3 linked regions of the Callithrix jacchus genome follow. The main gene of each other region encodes a partner of the protein of the gene in region 2 in a complex. Links are inferred from orthologs where the notes say so. Each region holds a gene or a part of one and is shown on either strand. Other genes may lie near its edges.

Region 1 (3,141 bases), on a different chromosome or scaffold from region 2:
GCATGTGAGGAAGCTACCCAAGGCCAGGGAAAGACATCACCCCAGCAGGAAAGGAAGAAAGGTGACTCCAGTATGCAAGCAGGACAGGGACTAGCAGCTGTCCCCACCCACCAGGATACAGAAGCTCATATTCACCTGGGCAGCATTGGCCAGGGTGCCCTGAATGGTGTTTGTTGCCTCCATAGCCGGGAAACTGAAGTCTACCATAAGAGCTGCTCCAGTCCCATGCAGCACATCTTCAGAGAAAGACTAAAAAGGATCAAACCGTTTCCATGTTTTCTGAGGATACGCAGTTGTACCTCTTTATTTCCACTCTCAGAAAATCCAATTGAATCTACAAAAGAGTCCTAAGACTGAGTTTAGTGTATTTACAGGGAGCCAACTCCTTCCCCAAACACTAGTCAGTTGACCCAGCACTTTCTTCACTGTTAGAGGAAAGAAGCTCATGTTAGATTTAAAATTCAGGAAAAAAAATTAACGCTAAACTTGCAAAAATTATATGCTGTATATTACAGTTACACGTTTATTACTATTAACTTCAGGGGAAAACAACTGTAATAAATGTAACTATAAGGAAGGATTCCAAAATGTTGACAGTAGTTGATGCTGAATGAGAGCCCAGCTGATTTTCATTTTCTTCCATTTCCTAAATTGTCTTCAATTTCCTTGAATATCTGGATTCTAGAACCTCCCCTGTAACCGAAGCACAATGACTAGAATATTGGGAGGTGCTGTAGCTGAAATAAACTCAGACTTGGAACAGTAGCTCAGTTTTATTTTCTGTGGTAACAAACATTTAAGAACCAGATCAAACAAGGGGCCCCTGAGCACCCACGGGCCAGTACAGGCCGACCATGAGGCTTTCACAGGAAAATAGCAACTGTGGGAACTCCTGCCCTAGGGAAAGCTGGGTGCCCTACCTAGGGAGACGCAATATTAGACCTCACCCCATTTTCCCAGGCCAGGCTTAGCGGGGAACGGGGGGCCCAAAGCGCTGCATGGTCCGCAGCACCAGGGAAAGCTGGTCGAGAAAGTTGATGACGGAAATTCGGAGCAGGCGACAGTCTTCAGCTTTCCAGCGGCTAAAAGTGAGGGATAAAGAAAATAAAATTGGAGGTGACAACTCCTGGTCCGTCACTCTGCCGCTCAGGCACCCATTACAGCAAAGCCTCGGGAGCCCATGAGACAGCCCCTCAGGTGGAGACCGGCCCGGCGCACCTGGCGCTCCTTAGGGTTCATCCATGGGTGCCCCCTACGTCTCCATCGGTTGCCTCCCCCAACTCCAGCCCCTTTCAGAACTTACACGGTCAGGATCCTGCCGCTCACTGTGAGATCCTTCCCAATCACCCTTTGGTGGGGCTCGGCATCTGGAGCCAGGGACCCATGCGCGATTTCCGCCTCCAAGGGGGTCGGGAAAGGCACACTAAGGGTGCTGGGGGGGCATTCGGTTAAGGTGCCATCTGATACGACTTTGCCTATGTCTCAGGCCTTCTTGATCCTCTGAAGCCCCCCCTCAGGTCACCCTACCTAGAGTCATTCGCTTTACTCCTCACGTGGCCCAGGCCACCGCTGGCAGGGCTTCTCTCCTTCCATTTCTATTTCTTCCCCTCCTCCGAGCACCCCTGCTCGTCTACCCCGGTCGCCGCCCGCCCTCCTTTCTTCCTCCCCGAATCCAGCCCTCGCCCCGGCGCAGGCAGCCGCCAGTCTGTTCCCGACCTCCCCTTGGAAAGAATACAATATGTGCGGCCGTATTCCTGAACCCCTGGCCGCAGATGCGGCGTCTCTGCCAGGACCTGGCGGGTGCGGTGGGGAAGGTTCGTCAGCCGGAGCTCCCGCTGTGTCCGTGCCCCTGGGGCAGCTGTGGCCACCCTGGCCATCCCTGCCAATTGTGCCTGCGCCAGCGTGTGCATTCGCGCACCGCATGACCTCCGCCGCCACGCAGCTCGGACTCCACCCCCGAGGCGCAGGCCCCCACGCCCCGCCCTCTCTCCCGGTCCCTTTCCCGAATCCCCGCCCCCTGCGCCCGACTCCGCCCACACGCGCCGGCACTCGTTCTTGGGAAGCCTGCCTGGCGCGTGGTCAGTTCCCGCCAAGCGGCCCTGCCGGGTGCCTTCTGAGACCGAGTCAGCGGTTAAGAGGCCGCGGTCTCCTCCAGAAACTCTGTCCCTTCGCGCGTAACTCGATCCCAGGCCGTCAGTGCAAAGTGACCCACAGTCAGTCAGGCCCCAGGAAGCCAGCCCTGACGGGGTTTTGAAGACCCCGTGGTCGCCTAGCCCAGAGGCGCACCCTGCAAGGCTCCGCCCCTAACTGCGCCTTGTGACCGCAGCGCGCCTGCGCCGTCTAGGGCCTGTGGCCTCGGCCGGGCAGGCCCTAGTGAGGCCCTAGTGAGGCCCGAGGGTGTCTGGGCGCTTCCCGCCCTGTTTCTTACCGGTACCCAATATCCCCCGGAGATGTGGCACTAACGTGCATGCAGCGACTCGCGGAGGGACGGTGGCGGGGTCTGATACCCCCCCACAAGGATACTGCTCTTGCCCACGACCCCATGGTCCAACCGAGGGGGCTTCACAGTGGACGGTAAAGAGTCGGATTTACATTTTAGAGGAGGCATTTTAGAGCGGGGTGGGGGCGCTGTGCGGAGCGGGAGCCTGTCAGCAGAACGCCTGCACTGAGGCGAAATATGACGGCCTTGAACGCAAGTATTGGCGCTGTGCCTAGGTCTCATATAACGTGGAAAATCAGACTGCACAACTATGAGTATGAAAATGCCACTTTAGGCCGGGCGCGGTGGCTCACGCCTGTAATGCCAGCACTTTGTGAGGCGGAGGTGGGGGAATCACCTCAGGTCGGTAGTTCGAGACCAGCCTGGCCAACATGGAGAAATCCCGTCTCTACAAAAAAAAAAGAAAGAAAATGCCACTTTAGGGCAGGCTAAGTGGCTCCCGCCTGTAATCCCAGCACTTTGGAAGGCCAAGGGAGGAGGATCACTTAAGCCCAGGAGTTCAAGACCAACATGGGCAACATAGTGAGACCACATCTCTACAACAAATACAAAAGTAACTTTTCTTTTCTTTCTTTTCTTTTTTTTTTTTTAGAAACGGGGTCTCACTATGTTGTCCAGACTGGAGTGCAGTAGCTATCCAC
Region 2 (3,962 bases):
TGATGGCAGAGGTAAGGTGTTGGCTATTTTGACCTAGCCAGGTTGCAGGTACATTCCTCCATCGTTGACCACTCTCCCAGCCATACCCTTGGTGTATGCAATGCAATCAATATCCTGAGAGGTTACTCCAGATTCTGTTAGTGCCTCCTGTAGTAGGTCTAGGATAACAGCTCGGTGATGCCTGGCTGTGTCACCTGGAAGGAATCCTAGAAAATGAACATAGGTCAGAGATCACAGGGATTTTCTGTAGCAAAGGTGGGTAGGAAGTTAAAGAAAGCAACAGGAGTTTTAGTGATGTAGGAAGAGACCTTTCACTTTCCTTAAGCATCCTATCTTCCAGGTTTTCAGATACATACTCTTTCCAGCTTCTACATAGGCCGTTCAACTTTCAGAAATGCTCTTCTTCCTACCCAACTCCTACTCAGCCTTCAGGACTCAATGCCAGTGGTATCTACCTCATACTCTTTGGTGATCTTTCTCTGTGACCCTACAGAACTCTATGGATGATGATGTCATTTATTTAACATAATAATTATAGCATTATAATTTTCTATGGTTTGCTCTTTTTTTTAAAAAATATGTATATTTTTTCTTTTAAAGACAGGGTTTCACCACGTTGGCCAGGCTGGTCTTGAACTCCTAACCTCAGGTGATCTACCCGCCTCGGCCTCCAAAAGTGCTGACATTACAGGCGTTGAGCCACCACACCCGGCCTGGTTTGCTCATCTTAATCATGAGTATCTCAAAGCATTGAGTATTTTATTTATCTTTGTATTCCCAGTGCCCAAGTGTCTAGAGGAGTGAATGTTAAATATACATATATATTTCTAATGAGTAATCTGTCACAATATCACCTGTTCAGGGAGGTTTTTCAGATACATGCAAGTCAGTTGCTCTCTCCTATGCATACAAGTGTTTGAAGGATGAGTAGGCAAGATATAATCGCTTACTAAAAATATCAACTAAAAGTTGTAATGTGTTTGGTACTTTCATCTTATCTTTAAGATTTAATGATACATGTATTATTCCTATCTTAAAAACAAAGACTAGGCCCGCGTGGTGGCTCAGCCTGTAATCCCAACACTTTGGGAGGCTGAGTTGGGAGGATCACCTGAAGTCAGGAGCCCAGACCAGGTTGGCCAACATGGTGAAACCTCATCTCCACTAAAAAAATAAAAATTAGCTGGGCATGGTGGCACACACCTGTAGTCCTAGCTACTCGGGAGGCTGGGGTAGAAGAGTCACTTGAACCTGGAAGGCAGAGGTTGCAGTGAGCCGAGATGGTGCCATTGCACTCTAGCCTGGGCGACGGAGCAAGACTCTGTCTCAAAAAAAATTAAAAAATAAGCCGGGTGCAGTGGCTCACGCCTGTAATCCCAGCACTTTGGGAGGTGAGATCACGAGGTCAGGGCAGATCACGAGGTCAGGGGTTCAAGACCAGCCTAACCAACATGATGAAACCCAGTCTCTACTTAAAAATACAAAGATTAGCCGGGCATGGTGGTGCACTCTTGTAATCCCAGCTACTTGGGAGGCTGAGGCAGGAGAATTGCTTGAATTCGGAAGCCGGAGGTTGTGGTGAGCCGAGAGCGCGCCATTGCACTCCAGCCTGGGCGACTCAGTGAGATTCCATCTCAAAATAAAATACAATTAAATTAAAATTAAAAATAAAAATAAAGACCAAATGTCCAGAACATATTTAATATGAATATTACAAAGCCAGCCAGTTCTGTCTGGCATGTAAGCTGGGAGTCTTTTCCACTCTTCTCTCTCCCCATCCTATTTTTTTTAAAGCATTTTTTTTTTTTAACAGGAGTGTATATTCGGGCCGGGCGCGGTGGCCTAAGCCTGTAATCCCAGCACTTTGGGAGGCCGAGACGGGTGGATCATGAGGTGAAGAGATCGAGACCATCTTGGTCAACATGGTGAAACCCCGTCTCTACCAAAAATACAAAAAAATTTAGCTGGGCATGGTGGCGTGTGCCTGTAATCCCAGCTACGTGGAAGGCTGAGGCAGGAGAATTGCTTGAACCCGGGAGCCGGAGGTTGCAGTGAGCCGAGATGGCGCCATTGCACTCCAGCCTGGGTAACAAGAGCGAAACTGCGTCTGAAAAAAAAAAAAAAAAAAAAAAAAAGGAGTGTATATTCAGGGCAACTGGAATCTATATTCCTACTAAGCATTTTTTAAACAGAATGTTTCGAATCCATCTCTATTACACTGTTTATCATGCTGAAGAATAAACATCTATTTATATATCTGATTCCACAACAAAATCATAACATCTATTTCTAAACGCTTAGCACATAAAATGCGCTCAATAAAAGGTAAACTAACTTCTCAGATCCACCTCCAAGTGCCTATACCTCTTCTAGCTATCAGCCCTGTGATGTCAATAAAGTCACATAATTTCCCTGAGACTCGGATCAAAAGCTGTAAGAACGGACAATGCACCCAAGGCCCCACTTAACTAGTATTTAGGAAGATGGAAGACTAATTCCGTGCGGGGAAGTGCGCGGAAAACTCTCAAGTCCCTTACTAACCCACCTGTGCCCGGAGGCGTGACATAAGTCCGCCGCGGGTTCGCCAGCACCTTGCCATCCCGCACCACTCCCACGCCAATCTTATTGGCGCTGCCTTCAAAACCGAGCACCGCCGGCATGGCGAAGCCGGGGAGAAAACGCCGACAGGACTCCTAGCAACCTAAGAAGTGGAGGTCCTTCCAAGTCCGCGCTGTGCCGCAGCTTTCCGGGGCACAGAAGAAGAAGGCGAGACTGCAGATAGCACTGCGAGAGACACCACAGAACTCCCGCGAGCGGAGACCCGTCAAGGCCCCTCCAGGGACCTGTCTTCCTAACTGCCAGGGACGCCGAGCCGCCTCTGTGCTTTACATTCCTATCAGTTTTTCTATCCCTTTCCTATGGTCCAGCCCAGCCTTCGCTATTGTTTTTTTCCCCTCTTGCACAGCATTAGGATCTTAAGCCACATTCAGAGAATGTGCCGTGCATCTGGCACAACAATAAACACCCCGAAGGAGGGTTGGGGCCTTAAGTCTCCTGGGGAGAAGGGAGGCTAGGCCAAGTGTCTCCATTACGTGGTACCAGACAGACCAATCACGCACATTCTTCTGCCACGTGACTGGAGTCTCGGATCACGTGACCAGATCCGCTACCCACGTGGGGGCACAGCGTGCACCGTTCTTTGTGCTCGGGTTAGGAGGAGCTGTGCTGCGTTCTGACCAGTGCAGGCAGATACGGGGTTACTCTTCTGCTCGTAAGAGGGGCTTCGCTGGCAGTCTGAACGGCAAGCTTGAGTCAGGATCCTTAATTAAGATCCTCAGCTGGAGGGCAGATCTCGCCAGTAGGGTAAAAGGCACTATGAAATGATCTTGTTAGTGGGTGAGGGGCTGAAGGGCATATGATGCACGGAGGCTGGGAAAGGATTGAGACATAACATGGTTTGAAAAGCGGGGACCTGGTGCGGGGACGCTTTAGGGGAGGAGTCTTCTCCCCAGGTTTAGCTGATTTCATTTATTTGCGTCTGTAGGCAACGCGGTAAAAATACTCCTTCGGTGGGCGACACGGTACAGGTGCCTCCGAAGGGCGTTCGTTACGGGAATGCCGAAGCGTGGGAAAAAGGGAGCGGTGGCAGAAGACGGGGAAGAGCTCAAGACGGGTAAGAGAATGAAATAAGCCCCTCTTCCTAGAAGCTGCGGCGGGAATTTCCTTGATAACGGTAACTACAGGCCGCTCATTTTTTAAGGGGTTTGTGAAGAAGTAGCGGTAACATCACACTTTTGTTGGGTTTATAGTTAACGCCGGATCGAGGTTGGAAACTACCAACTTTTTGTCACTATGTATTACTCATTTTATAGAGCCAGAGGCCAAGAAGAGTAAGACGGCCGCAAAGAAAAACGACAAAGAGGCAGCAGGAGAGGGCCCAGCCCTGTATGAGGACCCCCCAG
Region 3 (4,192 bases), about 73 Mb from region 2:
CTTCTATTTATGAAGAACTGTTATTTTTACATTTAATGCCCAATTTTCACCACTTGTTCATGTTAGTTCTCTGAAATGTTACTGCCTATGAACCGTGACATGCACTCGTTGTAACAGAAGCAGAAGTTAAAAGATGTAGACATCACACAATTCAATGGTCATTTTAAAAATAGAAAACAATGATAAAAATTCAGTTGCCAACTTAAGAGGATTTTATACATTATGTTCTATTTTTCATGGTCTGAAATTATTTCTCAAGAAAATGGATTTTATTTCCAAACCTTTACTATCTTTGCTAGAAAGAGAAAAACTAGTTTTCTCTTTGACAAAATTGTCCCAGGAGAAGAACACAAACACTTTTCCAAATTAGAGCATAAGTCTTCCTTAAATGTCCCAGTGTGACAATTAGGATAGAATAGCAGTCTTTTAAATATCATAAAGGCTATTGTTAAGATGGTGGTTTTGGCCGTTTTGCAGATGGTCCATCGAAGTTAGTTACGTTATCAATGTTATTTTCATCTTCTGCATCATCTTCATCATCACCTTTTAAAATAAATATTTGTTGTATGACAATATGTTCTGTGGTTGAAAGAAATATATATAGCTAAAGTGGTTGAGAGTAAAACCATTTCACTTTAGGAACTAATAAAACCATGCACATTTTAGATTAAAATGATTTTGAGAATTTCAGTGTTTAAAATCTTTATTGTCTATCACTTTCCTTTTTGGAGATATCAATTCATTCATAATAAAATCCACTCTTTTAATGTGTACAGCTTAGTGGTTTTTAGTATATTCACTAGCCTGTGCAACCATCACCACTATCTAATTCTAGAACACTTTCATCACTCCAAAAATAAATGATATGCCCATTAGCAGTCACTTTCCATTCCCCTCAGCCTTTGGCAACCACTAACCTACCTTTTTTCCCCTTAATTTTTATTAGAGACAGGGTCTTGCTATGCTGCCCAGGCTAGACTCAAACTCCCAGTTCAAGTGATCCTCCTGCCTCAGCCTCTAGAGTAGTTGGGACTACAGGTGCCCACCACTGCACTCGGCTCACTAATCTACTTATCTCTATGGATTTGCCCCTTCTGTACATTTATAAACAAAATCATATAACATGTACCCTTTGCATCTGGTTTTCACTTAGCATAATGTTTTCAAGGTTCATTCATGTTGTAGCATATATCAATACATCATTACATGTTATTGCTAGTAATATTCCATTGTAGGGACAGATCACATTTTGTTAATGCACTTCCACCTCCTAAAGGTGCAATGCCAAGCCCAGCCAATTGTTGTTTCCACATTGTAGCCACTATAAATAATGCTGCTATGAATATTCATGTGTAAGTTTTTGTGTGAACATGTTTCCAGTTCTCTTGAGAGGGCTACCAGTGGAACTGCTGGGTCATGTGGTAACTTCAGGTCAACTTTTTGAGGAGCTACCGAACTCTATTTCCCAGTGGTTATACCATTTTACATTTCCACCAACAATGTACAAGGTCTCCAATTTCTTCACATTCCAGCCAACACTTCTTGTTCTTTTTGAGTATAGCCAACATCCATATTACCAAGATGTTAATTCCCAAGATGGAAGGAAAGTAGTTTAGGCTTTTCTTAAAGAATTGTAAATCCTGACTCCAATATCTAGTTTTTGGGTTTTTCAGTTCAGGACAGTCCAAATGAATCTGTCTAGTTTTGCATTCAAGACAGTTTAAAAACACTAATGCAGTTAAACTTCATGTTTCTACTTTCAAACTGCACCTACAAAACCGGAATATAGCAAGAGAGTCCCTGGGAGTCAATACGTGTTAATATTAAGTCTGTCTCAATCTTTGGAACCTGTTCCTACTCTGCGATAGACTGCACTGCACTCTTCCAAACATAGTTTAACACCTGGTAAAACTTTCTATTTTCTTCAACACCCAGCTCAAAAGTCTTGTCATCTCTGAAGCCTTCCTGGGGTCTCTGGGTTTGCAATAGTTACAGAGGGCCACAGAATCACTTTCACTCTTAATAGAGTGTCTGCCTGTCTAATCCCCTTGTGTTTAACGAGGGTAGGAACTCAGCCACATTCACCTCATTCTTCCTCCAGGGCTCAGCTCAGGGTTTGGCACATAATAGTAGGCATTTGGCACTATTTCTTTTTTTGTGATATAAATCAAAAAGTGGTAAGAGTCGTGGAAATGCTTGAGTAGAAGCAATCCAGATAAATATGTTGAAAATGCCAACAATTTTTATCTTTTAAATTTATTCTTAAAATAATAATATAAATGGGGTCTCGATATGTTGCCCAGGCTGTTCTAGAACTCCTGACCTCAAGTGATCCTCCTGCCTCGGCCTCTCAAAGTGTTAGGATTACAGGCGTAAGCCACCTGCCCCGACCCACCAAAAATTTTTAGATGCAATTCTTCTTTCCTCGAGGCTCACTTTGTCCAAGTCTGTCACTCTACACAGGCTCCCCAAGCCGATTTCCCCTGGGCGCCCGCCCCGCCCTCCTGTCGTTGCAGCACAGTCTCAGAGCTCACCGTCCAAGGCCTCGTCTGGAGCCGCCGCCACCCGGTGCTGCACCTCCCCCTGTACCAGGGGGCCGAATAATTCCGTTACTAGCTCCTTCATCTGGGCCACGCCAGACAACAGGCCCTGAAAAGGGTCGCCGCCACCCGGCTCCTCACACGACACCCGCAACTTCTGCGACTTCCCTTCCTGCCAGACGTACTCTCCCAGCAACTCCATGGCGACCGCTAAGCTTAAAGAACGCGACACGGGAAAGCGCCAGCCGGAGGCGGAAATCAGCCCCCGACCGGCGCAGGCGGGAGAAGGGAGAGGAGTGACTTCCGTTTGTCGGAGGTCGCTCCTCCTCCTTTCTTCGCTTTTTTTCTTTGTCATTGGTTTCTGGCGCTCGGGCCCCGCCTCCTCCGGCTACGCCCCTCGCGGCCGCTTTTCCCGCCTCCGCCGTGGCCGAGCCGCTGTTCGGGTGACAGTTGAGGATGGCCGGGGCTGAGGGCGCCGCTGGGCGGCAGTCGGAGCTGGAGCCCGTCGTATCGTTGGTCGACGTCCTTGAGGAGGACGAGGAGCTGGAGAATGAGGCGTGCGCTGTCCTGGGCGGCAGCGACTCTGAGAAATGCTCCTACTCGCAGGTGGGCGTGCGGCCCGGGCCTCGTCTCACCCCGCTCCCGCCGAACCTCCCCTTCGCGGCTGGGCTGTCCCTATTCCCGCCTGCCACGGTCGTTTCCTCAGTGGTGGTCCGGGGCCGCCGTTCGTCTGCCGCTTCCTCACCCCAAGCCCACTCTGCCCTTTTAGCTCCAACCTCCTGGGCCCCCTTCAGCCTGTGTCCAGCAGGGGCCCCCCTCTCCCCTCTCTAACTCCGTCCGGCCCGCCTGGTTGGGTCCTTGAGCCGCTGTCCCTCCTCTCCAGCTTCTTCTTGGTGCCCCACTGCTTTTCACGAAACCACCCCGTGACCTCTCAGTCACAGACATCTTTGTTTTTGCTCTTCCCATCCTAATATTTATTTATTTATTAGGGAACTGAATGGGAGAGTCAGGTTAAAGAGATTTTCAAATCCATAAGGATTTGCGGTGAGCTCCTTGACAGCTTGTTCCTCTGCAATTTAGTTTGACAAGTGCTAGCTAGTACTTTTTCTTTTTTTCTTTTTTGGCAAAATGAAGCAAGTACCCATGTCTATTTGCAGTCCGCTCCCTCCCCTGGAAATAGACCGGAAACAGAACAGCAAGCGACTCTGGCAAGGGAGGGGAGAGAGGAGAAAAGGATCTGTTTGGCATTTGGAAGACGTTGTGAGTGAGCAAGTATTTGAGGGGGTGTGACGTGGTGTTTAGTGACTCACCCTATACTTCAAGGTACAAAAATGGAAAAGGATGGGTAGGAAGAAAACTGACAAAAGGATGAGAATTGGTAGGAAGAAGTGTTACCTAGGCAGAGGGGTGAACTGGAACACTGGAGAGATGAGGGGAGAGACTTGCATTCATTATGTGGTATGAACTGAGATCATAATAACCAGTTGTCATTGTTGACTGCAAAGTGTTGAATAAACCTGATATCCACACATAGCCCCAGGTATTTTAAAGTCTTTGCTCACCACTAAAACCATTTTTCCTCTGCTTTCCTTAAAAAAAGGGGAAAAAAGTTCTAAATCTACATGTAAACTATTTTTGAAGTGTAGTTACCT

The links.
Region 1: the proteins of OSGEP (region 2) and LAGE3 are in contact, whole or in part, in a crystal structure (PDB 6GWJ), measured with the Homo sapiens proteins. The link is inferred for Callithrix jacchus from reciprocal best matches to the Homo sapiens genes OSGEP and LAGE3. Residues at the interface, in NP_060277.1 of Homo sapiens: Arg50, Ile53, Leu54, Asp55, Leu57, Gln58, Leu61, Gln69, Ala84, Val87, Ser88, Val91, Val92, Arg94, Thr95, Val96, Gln98, Leu99, Trp100, Asn101, Leu315, Ser318, Gly319, Val320; in NP_006005.2 of Homo sapiens: Glu76, Ile77, Gly80, Ser81, Leu82, Pro84, Asp85, Asp125, Gln126, Leu129, Val130, Arg132, Thr133, Met134, Arg136, Phe137, Gly138, Pro139, Pro140, Val141, Arg143.
Region 3: OSGEP (region 2) and GON7 share a complex: the UniProt entries of both Homo sapiens proteins name them as parts of the EKC/KEOPS complex. The link is inferred for Callithrix jacchus from reciprocal best matches to the Homo sapiens genes OSGEP and GON7.

The regions. Positions count from the first base shown.
Region 1 is NC_133524.1:150,271,164-150,274,304, forward strand, and holds LAGE3 (EKC/KEOPS complex subunit LAGE3), read right to left. Parts: upstream 1,959-3,141; 5' UTR 1,924-1,958; coding exon 1,736-1,923; intron 1,433-1,735; coding exon 1,304-1,432; intron 1,083-1,303; coding exon 968-1,082; 3' UTR 948-967; exon of another isoform or gene 694-947; 3' UTR 501-693; downstream 1-500. UniProt on the Homo sapiens protein: Component of the EKC/KEOPS complex that is required for the formation of a threonylcarbamoyl group on adenosine at position 37 (t(6)A37) in tRNAs that read codons beginning with adenine.
Region 2 is NC_133509.1:55,177,689-55,181,650, forward strand, and holds the start of OSGEP (tRNA N6-adenosine threonylcarbamoyltransferase), read right to left. Parts: upstream 2,801-3,962; 5' UTR 2,661-2,800; coding exon 2,546-2,660; intron 207-2,545; coding exon 87-206; intron 1-86. Other genes in the region: DNA repair nuclease/redox regulator APEX1, read left to right, coding at 3,616-3,673, 3,873-3,962. UniProt on the Homo sapiens protein: Component of the EKC/KEOPS complex that is required for the formation of a threonylcarbamoyl group on adenosine at position 37 (t(6)A37) in tRNAs that read codons beginning with adenine.
Region 3 is NC_133509.1:128,019,454-128,023,645, forward strand, and holds the start of GON7 (EKC/KEOPS complex subunit GON7), read right to left. Parts: upstream 2,801-4,192; 5' UTR 2,743-2,800; coding exon 2,535-2,742; intron 544-2,534; coding exon 449-543; 3' UTR 1-448. Other genes in the region: putative E3 ubiquitin-protein ligase UBR7, read left to right, coding at 2,997-3,146. UniProt on the Homo sapiens protein: Component of the EKC/KEOPS complex that is required for the formation of a threonylcarbamoyl group on adenosine at position 37 (t(6)A37) in tRNAs that read codons beginning with adenine.